Saccharomyces cerevisiae S288C: one gene and its partner. Changing the gene in region 2 together with the main gene of any one other region gives a genetic interaction. Each region holds a gene or a part of one and is shown on either strand. Other genes may lie near its edges.

Region 1 (7,322 bases), on a different chromosome or scaffold from region 2:
AGTCATAGAAATAGACTCCGCAATACAGATAATCATAACAAGGCCGTAAAGGCATAATAGTTTTCTACGTCCATGCTCTCCCTCAACGCTTTTGGCAACACTCAAAATACTGGGGGAGCGCCGGATAGAGTCATAGCTACTGTCCTGAGCTGTTTCATTAGTATCCAAATTTATTCCAGTACTGTCATTTTGACTAATGATTTCTTCCAAGGCGTTGATCCCAGCCGTTTCCAATAAATAGTCCATCTCATCTGAAGACATTAAACGAGTTGTTTCATCCTCGTTTGACATTGTTCTGCGCCTTTGCTTCGCACGGTTTGAAGATGTATACGTGAAATGCAAGAACTAGGGTTTGTATTCCTTATAAGTCTATTAGACTTCTTGCAGATCAGCCCTTCATCTTGTTGGTTTTTAGGAATCCCTTACCCTTTATTTTTTTTTTTTTTGATTTCGATTAAGGGCGGGAAATCATGATAAACTTCCACGGAACAACAATAAACGCTCGGCCAATGTTAGTAAGATACACTGTACTTACCTGATGATAATCCCATAGCACTTTCATTCACTTGGAAGCCAAACCAGTTTATAAGTACTTTTAAATTGCCAAGTGCACCCTTTGGTAATTTTTTTTTACTTTTACCATTTTCTGTAAGAATTTTCTATTTATTTCAGTAGTTTATTGAATTTCCATAACTAAATATATATTTAAGATATTAATAATTGAGACATGAAATGTACTGACTAGATACTTTTATATATTTTACATTATTCATTCAAATTATTTCCATCCTGGCGTAAGGACGACGGGTATATGCTCATTAAGAAGAGCGTTCGATTATACTTTACCGTCACATCTTTCGGAAAAAATTTTAATGACCTGCATCTGTCTTTCTTGTAAGATGTTCAATTTGTCCATTAAACTTTTATCAAATTCTAGGTATGTTTTCCAAACCATAATACTTTGCTTTTGGGTTAACATATCACTGAACTGCGTATCTGCTCTCAGGCGCTGTAATGATACTTGATGTATTGTTTCTTTAAGTTTGTTACATTGGTTATTAAACAGCTGCACGTTAAGCTTCAATGTTTCAAGGTCAGCCACTGCATCAAATTCCGGAATCTCTGGTATTTCCAAATCTAAGATCTCGGGTGTAATTCCACACTGTTCTAGTAACGGTTTGAATTTTGCACGATTACTTTCTGCTTGGGCAAAAGTTCCACCTTGTTCGTGACTCTGAGTGGTCTTCGGCTTTTTAAAAAGATTGATTGATTCTAACGAGTCATTAATTGCATCCATCATAAAATAATCTTTTTCTCTTGGTAAAGATTGGAACAATTCTTCTAAAGATATATCATCTTTCTTTCTCCTTTTCATCCCTTTAGGTTCTTTGATAGATAAATTTTCTATGTCGATTGAGTCGCTGTGATTTTTATCACCTATTTCATCCCGACGAAACAGCAAGTCTTTATTTCGATCGTCTACATTGCTTATATTGAGTTTTTCAATAATGTCTCTCAAAATGTTCCATCCTTCATTGGCACTAGTTGTTGCAGGTATCTCTTTAATGGGAGAAACTGACTTTCTAAACTGATTCTTGCATTCGAATTTACTTCTTGCGTAATGTCGATACTCATGATTGTAAAAAGGAGATTGCAAATTTGAATCATGGGATCCACTAGAAAAAGTACTGGTCTTGGGCAATTTAAATTGTTTGTGTCCCGTTTCTTCTTCGCCATTTTCCTCTGGAGAGACTCTGCTTTCCCTTTTCGGTTCTTTATTATTTTTTTTTTCTTCATCAGGACTGCTAGACTTCGACGTCATTCCATAATGTTGCTGCTGTTGCTGTTGTTGCTGCTGTTGCTGTTGTTGTTTTCCTGCTTCTTCTTCTTCTTCATGATCGCTTAGTGCTGATCCCAAACATGAATTTGGATCTTCAGAGTAAGATTTATGTGTGTACGCATTTTTACCCAATATTTCCCATATTTCTTGGAACTGAGAGTTCGTATCCATTTTACCGGCATCAGTCATTCTTACTTTTGAGGCTCCATTGGTTTCATGGAACAAAGAATCAATATCAGGACTTCCATGTTTCCTTTCCTTTTTGGATGAATAATAGTGGTTTCGTTGGTAGCTTTTTAAATTGAAGGACTTGAATATCGGAACCTTACTCTTAGAGCTTGAGGTCATTTTTTTGCCTACACCGAAACCGTAGGGCTGTTGCTCATAAGGTTTATTTTGCCTATGATAAGCTTCTGATTGACCAAGTGTGGGACTAGCCCCTTGTGATTCCTTTGCCTTGGTCTTGAAAATATGACAGTTTTTCTTCGGCTGGTAAGTGTGTAAACCTTTGATTTTCAAATCTCGATCATATCGAAGTTTTTGATCTTCATCAGTTAAAATTGAATGTGCATGCACCACAGCTTTGAATAATTCCTCAGACTTATCAGATTTTGTTTTATCTGGGTGAAGTAATCTGGCCAGTTTTAGATATGATTTATGTACTTCGGAGGAAGTCGCATTTGATGTCAAGCCTAATATGGAATAATAGGTTGTTCTATCTAATTGTGGTTCTATTACCTGTGACATAAGAATAGTACAGTGTACAATAGCATAAACTGAAGAAGCACTTTGCTACAGTCTATATTGAACATTCCAGGTCTATTTACGCTCATGCCTCAAAAAAAGTTTAAAGGCATCGCACGGTATTGTATTTTCAAGATGTCCGCACCGAATCGGTATTGTAAAAGTTTCACAATATTGAACATCTAGCACAATGATCAACTGAATTGAGGACAAACAGATAATTTTCGTGTGATATTATATTTTAATAGGATAAAGGTGAACTACTACAAACTATTTCAAAAAATAACTATTTAGCTAATCACATAAAAAATACTCCGATACGGGGAGTCGAACCCCGGTCTCCACGGTGAAAGCGTGATGTGATAGCCGTTACACTATATCGGATTATAAACGGTTAATATTCAACACCTAATAGTACTACTTACCAAATTAACAAGAGGATCATCTTTCCCATATGATAATAGACACCGGCTCTAAACTCAACTGTTCTGTACTAGTTGTTTTGATAGAATTTTTTTTACAAATCTGCCCAAAGTACGTTTTCCTAGTTTCATGCCTGTGCAACGCCGCAGCGCTAACCTGTGCAGGACAGATATGTAAATTGGAATCTTAACAGCAACAGAGACTCTCTCAAAACCGATACCAGAACTCAACCGCACTTCGTTATCCATAAATGTTGCCTTAGCCGAATGCAATACATCCCTTATAAAATCAATACAATGCGAAACTTAACACAATGCTAGTCGCTAACCACGACAAATTTCTTGCACCTCCAAATCTGCCTTTGTCCCTCTCCCACATCTTAACTATACCAGAAATGCCTCTCTGTTCTGCAAAAAACCTGTGTTCCTGCTATTAGATGAGGTAAATTCAAAACATTACATGCCATATCTTCTTCTAGACGACTACACCTCTAATTACATCAACAAATTTTAAACTTATATCGTCTAGAGTGATCCTTTCGCTAGAAATGGTAATAACTACTGCCATTGGAATCATAGTTTACAGAATATTGCGAGTTTGCTCTATATTAGATATTTATAAACGCTAGGATGGAACCGAGGGCTGCCACGATGCTTAAAAAATTACAGTGCAGCAACTCCGATGCCATTAATCTATCATAAAGTCTGGCGGCGTATTCCTTGCACAATTTTCATATCTTCCCATATGAATACCTGTTAGTCCGTATCACCAAGTGTAAACTGTTCTTTACAATGAGAACATCTAGAGTCTTTCTGATATGCGTAACTTCTGCCTCATTAATTTAAAAATTTCTTCATAGTAAATAGCTTATTTGCTTGGAGCAGATGATCGACATGTATTTTTAGGAACATAAACTGCCTAAATATAATAGATCAGCCTAAAAATAAGAATGCCAATCAACAAAGTTGTATTTCCTATCTTCCGATATTCGCAGTCCACCATTCAGACCTCTGGTGAGATAGTTTGCCTGCTTTTGCTCCCTTCCAAAGTGCTGATAAAAACCTCCGTGATTTTTTGAATACTCCCCTGAATGTCTATTTTAAGTATATTATAAAATTAGTTTAAGTTGGTGCGGATAACGAAAACTTGATGCAAGGTAAATAAATCAAGTATATCATAGAGTTCTTTCATTCATATGCTATACACAAGGTTGTTACGTCACAACTCACAATTCACCAAGTTTTCAGGCACATCGCCCAATCTTGGCTCAAAACCTTTATTTTCGAAGGGTAATTTGTACACTAGTCTTTTAGTGACAACACTGTATGGGACAGGTCTGGCATGCCTATATCTAGAATCAAATAGCTTGAATAAGTCCAAAGAGCAAGAAGATCCCCATGCCATCGCAGAAGACGACATTGTAAATATAGTCCATGACGCTCCCAATAGAATATTCAAGCCAGCACTTGATACCTATCAAGAGAAAGAGCTTGACTTACAAAAGAGTGACCTCCATAAAGTACTTCATTCTTTGACGTACAGTGATGTCTCTCAATTTTCGATTGTTTGGGGGTTTCTCATTCAACTTTCGAGCCTAATAGGCAATTCCACCTTAGGCAAAAAATCCATTCTTTATAAGGGAAGTGTCGTTAGTGTTTTAGGGTTCCCACCGTTGATTTATATGGCACTTAAACTTAGGATGAAACAGCTGGAAAAAGCTGGAGTGCGCTTTGAGTAATGCAGAAGGCAACATCTCCGAAAATAAAAACGATGAAGTAAATGAAAACTCGTTTGTGAATACGTAAAATTATAACGCGCCCCATACATAGTAAGACAGACTTACTTTTATACTATTATTTTAGTTATATTTTTGAAGTACAATCAAGACCTGCAAGATTATAATGTTGGTGATTCAACAATCGACGAGACCAACTGTTTGTAAATGAACGGGATTGCACTGGCCCCCGATAGACTGATCGTAAAGGTTATAGAAAGTGCCCGACAGACATTGGTAAAACACGTCATTATCACCAATAGCTAAAGTGCCATGCTTCGTTATCGACCAGCCGCCAGCGTAAATAGCGCCCGCCTGTGGAGGTGGACCATCAAATTGGAACTGTCTGTTTGCTACTATCGATCCAATTCTACCACTGGAGTCAATAAGAACACCTCCTTGTAACGTTATTGCCAAGGTGCCAGAACTTTTACAGGCTTGCACCTTGATCACTTTTTCATTATTTGGTTTCTTTGTTGGCTCTAACTTACTCTTGGAAAGCACAGAACTACTACTGGCTGAAGAAATAGTAACTTGCACTTGACCATCATGAATCTGAGAAACAGCAGTTGCGGTTGAAGTTGCTGTCGCAGTTACAGTTTTACTTGGAACAGCAATTGTGGACTTTGTGACAACATTTTTAGCTGTAGTTATTTGTAATTGACCATCGCCTATTTGTGACACAATATGTGACACTACTGGAGGCACCTTCTGCGTTGTAACTTGTATTTGGCCGTCTCCAATTTGCGAAACTGGATGAGGTAATTTTTGTGTCGTTACTTGCACTTGACCGTCATTAATTTGTGAAATGACGTTTCTTTTGACCTTACTTTCAGTAACGGTGAAAGGTATAACAGCGAGACCGAATGAGGTCCGGTACTCTGTTGTGCCACCATCCATTTTAGAGCTTGGAGTTAAAGTTGCCCAGGGTTCAGGTGGAGCGTACGCAGTTAGCGCAATACTACTTAATAGAGATGCTAGAAATGCTTTCTTGTAATGCATATTGGGGCGGTGTTCACTTCTTCAGTAAGTTGTATAGAATTAAAAAATCGAGACTAAACAGAAATTTCGAAACAAGAAGATAAGTATATGTATACAAGTTATTTTACTCTTTTAACTGTTTTCGTTTCCCCACTCTTTCGCAAAAAGAATAATTTTGTGAGTCAAAACAGTCGAATTTTCTTGCACAAAAAGTCGATATTCTTTTGTGACTCTGTGTAACTTACTTTCTACAGCTTTTGTTACTCCACTTCTCTTATATATACCCAATGATTCACTCGTAATATATCAGAGGAACGTTAGAATTTCTGTATTTTCTCAGGAATCCTACAAAATTAGAGGTGAAATTGATCAGGTTAAGGAGCAGAAGCCCACTATATAAGTAAGATGATATCAAGCCTAGTTGGATGCCTTCAGGAACGGCAAATAGGATATGTGAGCTTGGCAAAGGGGTTTTGATAGAGTAACAATAGATCCTTGCTAGCCAATGCGACGTTCCTCTGTAGTTTTTACCACAGTTTTACTTAATTTCGTGCTTTGTCCCTTTTTGGCAAAAAAGTCGGATAATGTCTTCACTATATTTGTGTTTTCGTCTTTTAGGAAAAGCGTACTTTAGTAAACTACAAATTTGAGCTGAGCTAATTTCGGATTAGTAAAAGATGCAAGGAACAGTAAAAATTAAAATAGCGATTGACCGAAATCAGTCCAAAAATTACTACAACAAGCAAATCCAATTAAAAACAGTAAAATACTTTAAGTGCATTTACCGTTACGAACAACATATGTCCTAGTTAGTATAGTAGTCTACTAAGTAGCAAAAAAGTAGAAACTCTGTCACTATACCAGCCATCAGTTCATAGTAAAACAGTAAAAATTGTAAAAACAAGCAAAAAAAAAACAAGAAGGAACAAATGCACCAAACTGTTGATCTATTCTGCAAAAAAAAGTATGGTAAATTTTTTCCATTATCCTGGCCGCTAATCCATATGGAGGTGAACTTAGAACTTGCACAAGGATGCGATGAATGATAGGCTTTGTGCTATAATTAATGCAGGCAGGTCCGCCATGTCCAACACGTTGCTGGCCGCAAAACGAGTCAATCTCACTGCTTTGCCACGCTCATTTCTCCCCCCTTCTGCCCAATTAGGCGACCCTCACAATGCACATACACATTTCCCACCTCTATTGGAAGGGGCCGTAAATGGTAATTCTTGGGAGTTATTCATATTAAGTGATCTTACTATTTCCTATTTCGGAAATTATTAAAGACAAAAAAGCTCATTAATGGCTTTCCGTCTGTAGTGATAAGTCGCCAACTCAGCCTAATTTTTCATTTCTTTACCAGATCAGGAAAACTAATAGTACAAATGAGTGTTTTCTCAAGCGGAACACCACATTTTGAGCTAAATTTAGATTTTGGTCAAAATAAGAAAGATCCTAAAAAAGGAATGGTTGGTGAAAAATTTATTAGCTTGAATGGTAGGAATCCTCGAGATATAAAAGGAACACTTGAAGTCTAACGACAATCAATTTCGATTATGT
Region 2 (8,019 bases):
CTACTAACCAACAACTAGAACAGAACTTGATCTATTGTGCTCATGGGTCGGAGAAGCTCGCCTTATCCGCATCGTTTCCTGGGTTAATAGAAAGGTTTTTTGAATTCTTAAACATGTAATATCTCAAAACTAACACTTAAACATTATGCCGAAGAGAACAGTCCCTAACCCATTTGTAGTAAGCAGCCTTACAGGATTCCAAGGATTCAGCCAGCCAAACTGACCCATTGCGTTTTCTACCAATCTTCTCTTGTTTAGTAACACAATCCGGGTCACCCTTCGGAACTTCGGAATTGGAGAGGCAAGTGCAAAGAAAAGTGTTAAACCTCGGAGCCAAATGATTGATGAGGTAGCCGAGAAGATAAGAGCAGCTTGTTTCCTGCGCCTGTGTACGGGAATCCTCATTTATATAATACTTGGTTCTGTTTAGCCACCACAAATAATGCTCAGAAATACGCTAAAATGTGCCCAATTGTCGTCTAAATACGGATTTAAAACTACCACACGTACATTCATGACTACTCAACCCCAGCTAAATGTCACCGACGCACCACCTGTGCTATTTACCGTTCAAGATACAGCTAGAGTTATCACGCTAAATAGGCCCAAAAAGCTCAATGCTTTGAACGCCGAAATGTCAGAATCCATGTTCAAGACTTTGAACGAGTATGCAAAGAGCGATACTACAAACTTAGTCATTTTAAAGTCATCCAACCGACCACGTTCGTTCTGTGCTGGTGGTGATGTAGCTACTGTGGCAATATTCAATTTTAACAAAGAATTTGCCAAGTCCATCAAATTTTTTACTGATGAATATTCTTTGAATTTTCAAATAGCAACTTACTTGAAACCAATTGTTACCTTCATGGACGGTATCACCATGGGTGGCGGCGTTGGTCTATCCATTCACACGCCCTTTAGAATTGCTACAGAAAACACCAAATGGGCCATGCCCGAGATGGACATTGGTTTTTTTCCAGATGTAGGCTCAACTTTTGCTCTCCCTAGAATCGTGACATTGGCTAACTCAAACTCACAAATGGCCCTGTATCTATGTCTTACAGGAGAAGTAGTCACAGGAGCAGACGCTTATATGCTCGGCTTAGCGTCTCATTACGTCAGTAGTGAAAATTTAGATGCTTTGCAGAAAAGATTAGGTGAAATTAGCCCCCCTTTTAATAACGATCCACAATCTGCATACTTCTTCGGGATGGTTAACGAATCCATCGACGAATTCGTATCACCATTACCAAAAGATTATGTTTTCAAGTATTCTAACGAGAAATTAAACGTTATTGAAGCCTGTTTTAACTTGTCTAAAAATGGTACTATTGAAGACATAATGAATAACTTACGTCAATATGAAGGTTCTGCGGAAGGTAAGGCTTTCGCACAAGAAATCAAAACGAAATTGTTAACCAAGTCACCATCCTCTCTTCAAATCGCCTTGAGATTGGTGCAAGAGAATTCCAGAGATCACATAGAATCTGCTATCAAAAGAGACTTATACACAGCAGCTAACATGTGCATGAACCAGGACTCTTTGGTGGAATTCTCTGAAGCCACAAAGCATAAACTTATTGATAAACAAAGGGTCCCGTATCCATGGACAAAGAAGGAACAGTTATTTGTATCTCAGTTGACATCTATCACATCTCCTAAACCATCGCTACCAATGTCATTACTAAGAAATACCTCGAATGTTACTTGGACTCAATATCCCTACCATTCTAAATACCAATTGCCTACAGAACAGGAAATCGCTGCGTATATTGAAAAGAGAACGAATGATGACACTGGCGCCAAAGTTACCGAAAGAGAAGTACTAAATCACTTTGCCAATGTGATTCCTTCTAGAAGAGGGAAACTGGGTATCCAATCGCTATGTAAAATTGTTTGTGAAAGAAAATGTGAAGAAGTTAACGATGGCTTAAGATGGAAATAAAACCTGAAATAGCAGCCCCGTGGCTCGTAAAGAATTTTGCCAACACTTCTATGCATGTAAATAATAAAAGTAAAACATAACGCTATATTTGTATATGGATGTTTATTTAATGATACATAGAAAACTGTCATTTTCTTTCTCTTTTCTTATAAGTATTTTTTTTTATAAAAGGCAAAAAAAAAAAAGTTTGAATGTAATAAATATGGTTCAGAAAGAAATTACAATAAATCAAAAGTTTTGAGTATCATTCAAGATTATTTGCATTTTTCCCTCATTTACAGGCTATTTTTTCAAGGCCTTTCTTCTGTTTCTAACACCTTCTGCCAATAGCTCCAATACCTGTTCGGTGGACTCCCAGCCAATACAAGCATCCGTAACAGAACAACCATACTTCAATCCCTCTCTGCCACCTTCTTTGGGAATATCTTGTCTACCTTCATTTATGTTGGACTCAATCATAACACCACAGAGACTATTCTCACCCTCCGTCAGCTGGTCATAAATACATTTGGCAACCTTTGGTTGGTTCTTGAAATCTTTATTACTGTTGCCGTGGGAACAATCGATCATAATTCTTTTCTGGGAATCATCAGTCAAACCGGCCTTTTCTAACTGTTTCTTAGTATTTTGAACACTTTCTTTGTCAAAGTTAGTACCGTTCTTACCACCTCTCAAGATCAGGAAGGTATCCTTGTTACCTTCAGTGCCCACGATAGCAGTGACACCTGGCTTTGTGACAGAAAGGAAGTAATGTTCATGTGCAGCGGCTCTCATAGCGTCGATGGCGACTTGCAAACCACCATCAGTACCGTTCTTAAATCCAATAGGGAAAGATAGACCGGATGCTAATTCTCTGTGCAGTTGGGATTCAGTAGTTCTGGCGCCGATGGCACCCAAGGAGAAACAATCACTCAAAAACTGCGGAGAAATGGTATCCAACATCTCACCAGCAATGGGTAATTTTTCAACCAGTTTTATGAACATTTCTCTCGAAATCCGTAGACCTTTATTGATTTGAAAAGAGTTATTCATATCAGGGTCGTTAATCAACCCTTTCCAGCCAACAGTAGTCCTTGGTTTTTCTAAATACGCTCTCATAATAATCAATAAGTCTTTTGACAACTTTTCTGAAATTTTAGCCAATCTGTCAGCGTAATCGTAAGCGGCTTTGGGGTCATGTAGGGAACATGGCCCGATCACGATAACTAAACGATCATCTTTACCATTCAAAATATCACAGACGGAGTCTCTTGCCTTGATAATGTTTTCCTCACCTTTGGCTGAAATTGGAAATTCATGTTGAAGCAGATCTGGAGGGGTTAATGGATCATAACCTTTGATTCTCCAGTCTTCCAAGCGTTTCCTGTCACCGGCGTGATCGTTTTTAATGAACATAATGCTATAAAGTGTTCTTGTAACGTAATAGGGGTAGTAGCTATAAATATAAATGAGAAATAGTGAAAATAAATATGTCGTTCGTATACAAGTAACAGGAAGAAAAAAAAGAAGAGAGAGAAAATGCAAACACTTATAAACACATGCATGTATTTAATGCAGCAAGCATACTTTCCGATGTGACTAATACTTGAGCAATGAAAAAATATAAAAAAGGAAAGTGAGGAAGCTTTTAAATATATGTCACTATGTACGCATAAATTTGAGAAGATACGCAGCTGCTTCTTTTTTTTCAGCGGCTAAATATGATGTTCTTTCCATACTAATTTTTAGCTGTCGATTAGAATTAAAAAACGTCACAACATAGGTTAATTAAACATAGACAACATAGGAAGTGACAACAGGTTCTACAGCAACCACCGGATTCTCTCCGAGGAGGAGGCTGTTGGACATAGACTGGTTGTTGTTGTGGGGCATAATGCATATTTTGATGATGCCTCATTTTGGTATTGCTAACTTAGACTTTTTTAGTTGACAATTAGGATTATTTTAATTCACAACATAACTGAGAAACATTTAAATACAGTTGAAAACTGGGAGGGGCGAGAGGGGAAGGAGAAAATGAAAAATCGAGCTTGTATAATTTTTAAATAGAAATTGCCCTTATTTCTTCGCCTTTTTCCTTTTTTCAGGGTATCGAAAAAAAATGCGAGGGGCTGTGCAATTCAAAGCCAAGAAAGAAAAATAAAACAAGAGGGTTAAAAAATAGAAAAGGTCCTACCCGGATTCGAACCGGGGTTGTCCGGATCAAAACCGAAAGTGATAACCACTACACTATAGGACCCTAAAATGGACGATTGGAACCTTCTTTCGTACCTTCTTGAACAAAGCATTTTGAGTAGAAAATTCATCAATCCTAAATTTGATATTGACTTAGGTTATGGTTTACTCTTCTTTACAGAAATACAAAAGGCATGCTGATTGTTGGAATAAAAATCCATTATCATCTATGATAATTGTGCGGATTCTGATGTAATTGTTGGGATTCCATTTTTAATAAGGCAATAATATTAGGTATGTAGATATACTAGAAGTTCTCCTCCAGGATATAGGAATCCCCATAATGGAATCTATATTTCTACATGCTAATATTACGATCATTCCTCATTCAGTTTTATATGTTTCATTATCCTATTACATTATCAATCCTTGCGTTTCAGTTTCCACTAATTTAGATGACTATTTCTCATCATTTGTGTCATCTTCTAACACCGTATATGATAATATACTAGTAACATAAATACTAGTTAGTAGATGATAGTTGGTTTTTATTCCAACAGTGTATCAACTAGTGGTCATACTATCAATATATTATCATATACGGTATTAGATGATGACAGAAGTTATGGAAAGCTTCGAAGTTAGAGGAAGCTGAAATGCAAGGATTGATAATGTAATAGGATAATGAAACATATAAAACGAAATGAGGAATAATCGTAACATTAGCATGTAGAAATATAGATTCCATTTTGAGGATTCCTAAATCCTCGATGAGAACTTCTAGTAAACCCTGTATACCTAATATTATAGCCTTTATTAACAATGGAATTCCAACAATTATCACAAAATTCACAGAATTTCCAGTTTAATATCAAGAATAGGTGGATAATACGGTAATCGTATGGCCGCCATTGTTATGAAAGACAGTTATTCCTAAGTATATTGAATATACCAGGGTCACTATCGAGAATGTAGAATTTCCCATAAGGAAAGCCATGAGTTCGTATAATATTATGATTGTCTCCTCTCTTCTTTTCTATATCATCATATGATTATTTCTATTGTGTTATTAGTTTTTACATTTCAGTCCTCAGTACTTTTGTGAGAGGAGCTAAAAAAAAAAAAAAAAAAAAAAACATTACTTGGAAAAGGGAGGCATAGGAAAAAAAAAATGTCTAATATCGAAGATTGAGGAAAAAAATAAGTTATTGAAGGATGCGAGGTTCGAACTCGCGCGGACAACCGTCCAACAGATCTTAAGTCTGCCGCCTTAGACCACTCGGCCAACCCTCCGTAAAATCACTTGCCTGTTTTCAGATTCTGTTCTTATTCGTTTAGGTAAGAAAGAATATTCAAGGGAGGATGACTTTCGAAGATTGTATTTTTCTTGTTGGAATAAAAATCAACTATCATCTACTAACTAGTATTTACGTTACTAGTATATTATCATATACGGTGTTAGAAGATGACGCAAATGATGAGAAATAGTCATCTAAATTAGTGGAAGCTGAAACGCAAGGATTGATAATGTAATAGGATCAATGAATATTAACATATAAAATGATGATAATAATATTTATAGAATTGTGTAGAATTGCAGATTCCCTTTTATGGATTCCTAAATCCTGGAGGAGAACTTCTAGTATATCTACATACCTAATATTATTGCCTTATTAAAAATGGAATCCCAACAATTATCTCAAAATTCACCCAATCTTCATGGTAGCGCCTATGCTTCGGTTACTTCTAAGGAAGTCCCATCAAATCAAGATCCGTTAGCCGTTTCAGCTTCCAATTTACCGGAATTTGATAGAGATTCCACTAAGGTTAATTCTCAACAAGAGACAACACCTGGGACATCAGCTGTTCCAGAGAACCATCATCATGTCTCTCCTCAACCTGCTTCAGTACCACCTCCACAGAATGGACAGTACCAACAGCACGGCATGATGACCCCAAACAAAGCTATGGCCTCTAACTGGGCACATTACCAACAACCATCTATGATGACGTGTTCACATTATCAAACGTCACCTGCGTATTATCAACCGGACCCACACTATCCGTTGCCACAGTATATCCCACCACTGAGTACTTCCTCACCTGATCCAATCGATTTAAAAAATCAACACTCTGAAATACCTCAAGCTAAGACAAAGGTGGGAAATAACGTCTTACCACCACACACTTTAACATCAGAAGAAAACTTTTCTACATGGGTTAAATTTTACATCAGATTTTTGAAGAACTCTAATCTCGGTGACATCATTCCAAATGACCAGGGTGAAATCAAAAGACAAATGACTTATGAAGAACATGCGTATATATACAATACCTTCCAAGCATTTGCCCCATTTCATTTATTGCCAACATGGGTAAAACAAATTTTAGAAATTAATTATGCTGACATCCTTACAGTCCTTTGTAAAAGTGTGTCCAAAATGCAAACTAACAATCAAGAATTAAAGGATTGGATAGCTCTTGCCAACCTTGAGTACGACGGAAGTACATCTGCTGATACATTTGAAATTACAGTCAGTACGATCATTCAGAGGCTAAAAGAAAACAATATCAATGTTAGCGACAGATTGGCCTGTCAACTAATACTTAAAGGTCTATCCGGTGACTTCAAATACCTACGTAATCAATATCGTACCAAAACGAACATGAAACTTTCCCAATTATTCGCTGAAATTCAATTAATATATGACGAAAATAAAATCATGAATCTAAATAAACCGTCCCAATACAAACAACACAGCGAATACAAAAATGTTTCTCGCACATCTCCAAACACGACTAACACAAAGGTTACAACTCGTAATTATCAGAGAACAAATAGTTCAAAACCAAGAGCAGCAAAAGCTCACAATATTGCTACATCTAGTAAATTCTCAAGGGTGAACAATGATCACATTAATGAATCAACCGTTTCATCACAATACTTAAGCGATGACAACGAACTTAGTCTTAGGCCAGCAACAGAAAGAATCTAAGCCAACACACACAATAGACTCGAATGACGAACTACCTGATCACCTTCTTATTGATTCAGGAGCTTCGCAAACGCTTGTCAGATCAGCCCATTATTTACACCATGCAACACCCAATTCTGAAATAAACATAGTCGATGCTCAAAAACAAGACATTCCTATAAATGCCATTGGTAATCTTCACTTCAACTTTCAGAACGGCACCAAAACATCAATAAAAGCACTACACACACCAAACATAGCCTATGATCTATTAAGTTTGAGTGAGCTGGCTAATCAAAATATTACTGCCTGCTTTACCAGAAACACTTTAGAAAGATCGGATGGTACAGTACTAGCTCCCATAGTCAAACATGGAGACTTTTACTGGTTATCTAAAAAATACCTAATTCCTTCGCACATTTCAAAGCTAACAATAAACAACGTCAACAAAAGCAAAAGCGTAAATAAATATCCATATCCGTTAATACATCGAATGCTTGGACATGCTAACTTCCGAAGTATTCAGAAGTCTCTTAAGAAGAATGCAGTTACATATTTGAAGGAATCGGATATTGAATGGTCTAACGCTAGCACATATCAATGTCCTGACTGTCTAATCGGCAAAAGCACGAAACATAGACATGTCAAAGGATCACGACTAAAGTACCAAGAATCATATGAGCCTTTTCAGTACTTGCATACCGATATATTTGGTCCTGTACATCACTTACCGAAAAGTGCACCTTCTTACTTTATATCGTTTACAGATGAGAAAACCAGATTCCAATGGGTGTACCCATTACACGACCGTCGTGAAGAATCTATCCTCAATGTTTTTACATCGATATTAGCATTTATTAAGAACCAATTCAATGCTCGCGTTCTAGTTATCCAGATGGATCGTGGCTCCGAGTACACTAACAA

What was found.
Region 1: mutations in ARO3 (region 2) and PIR5 together harm fitness more than expected from each alone (negative genetic interaction), as found in Saccharomyces cerevisiae (2 studies listed by BioGRID).

The regions. Positions count from the first base shown.
Region 1 is NC_001142.9:113,043-120,364, forward strand, and holds PIR5 (beta-1,3-glucan linked protein), read right to left. Parts: upstream 5,784-7,322; coding exon 4,920-5,783; downstream 1-4,919. Other genes in the region: YJL163C (uncharacterized protein), read right to left, coding at 1-291; JJJ2 (Jjj2p), read right to left, coding at 836-2,587; FMP33 (Fmp33p), read left to right, coding at 4,203-4,745.
Region 2 is NC_001136.10:517,137-525,155, reverse strand, and holds ARO3 (3-deoxy-7-phosphoheptulonate synthase ARO3), read right to left. Parts: upstream 3,341-8,019; coding exon 2,228-3,340; downstream 1-2,227. Other genes in the region: mitochondrial 37S ribosomal protein mS47 EHD3, read left to right, coding at 443-1,945; cysteine-rich palmitoylated domain-containing protein CPP3, read right to left, coding at 3,687-3,842; YDR034C-A (uncharacterized protein), read left to right, coding at 4,464-4,640; YDR034C-C (gag protein), read left to right, coding at 5,800-7,116. UniProt on the Saccharomyces cerevisiae protein: Stereospecific condensation of phosphoenolpyruvate (PEP) and D-erythrose-4-phosphate (E4P) giving rise to 3-deoxy-D-arabino-heptulosonate-7-phosphate (DAHP).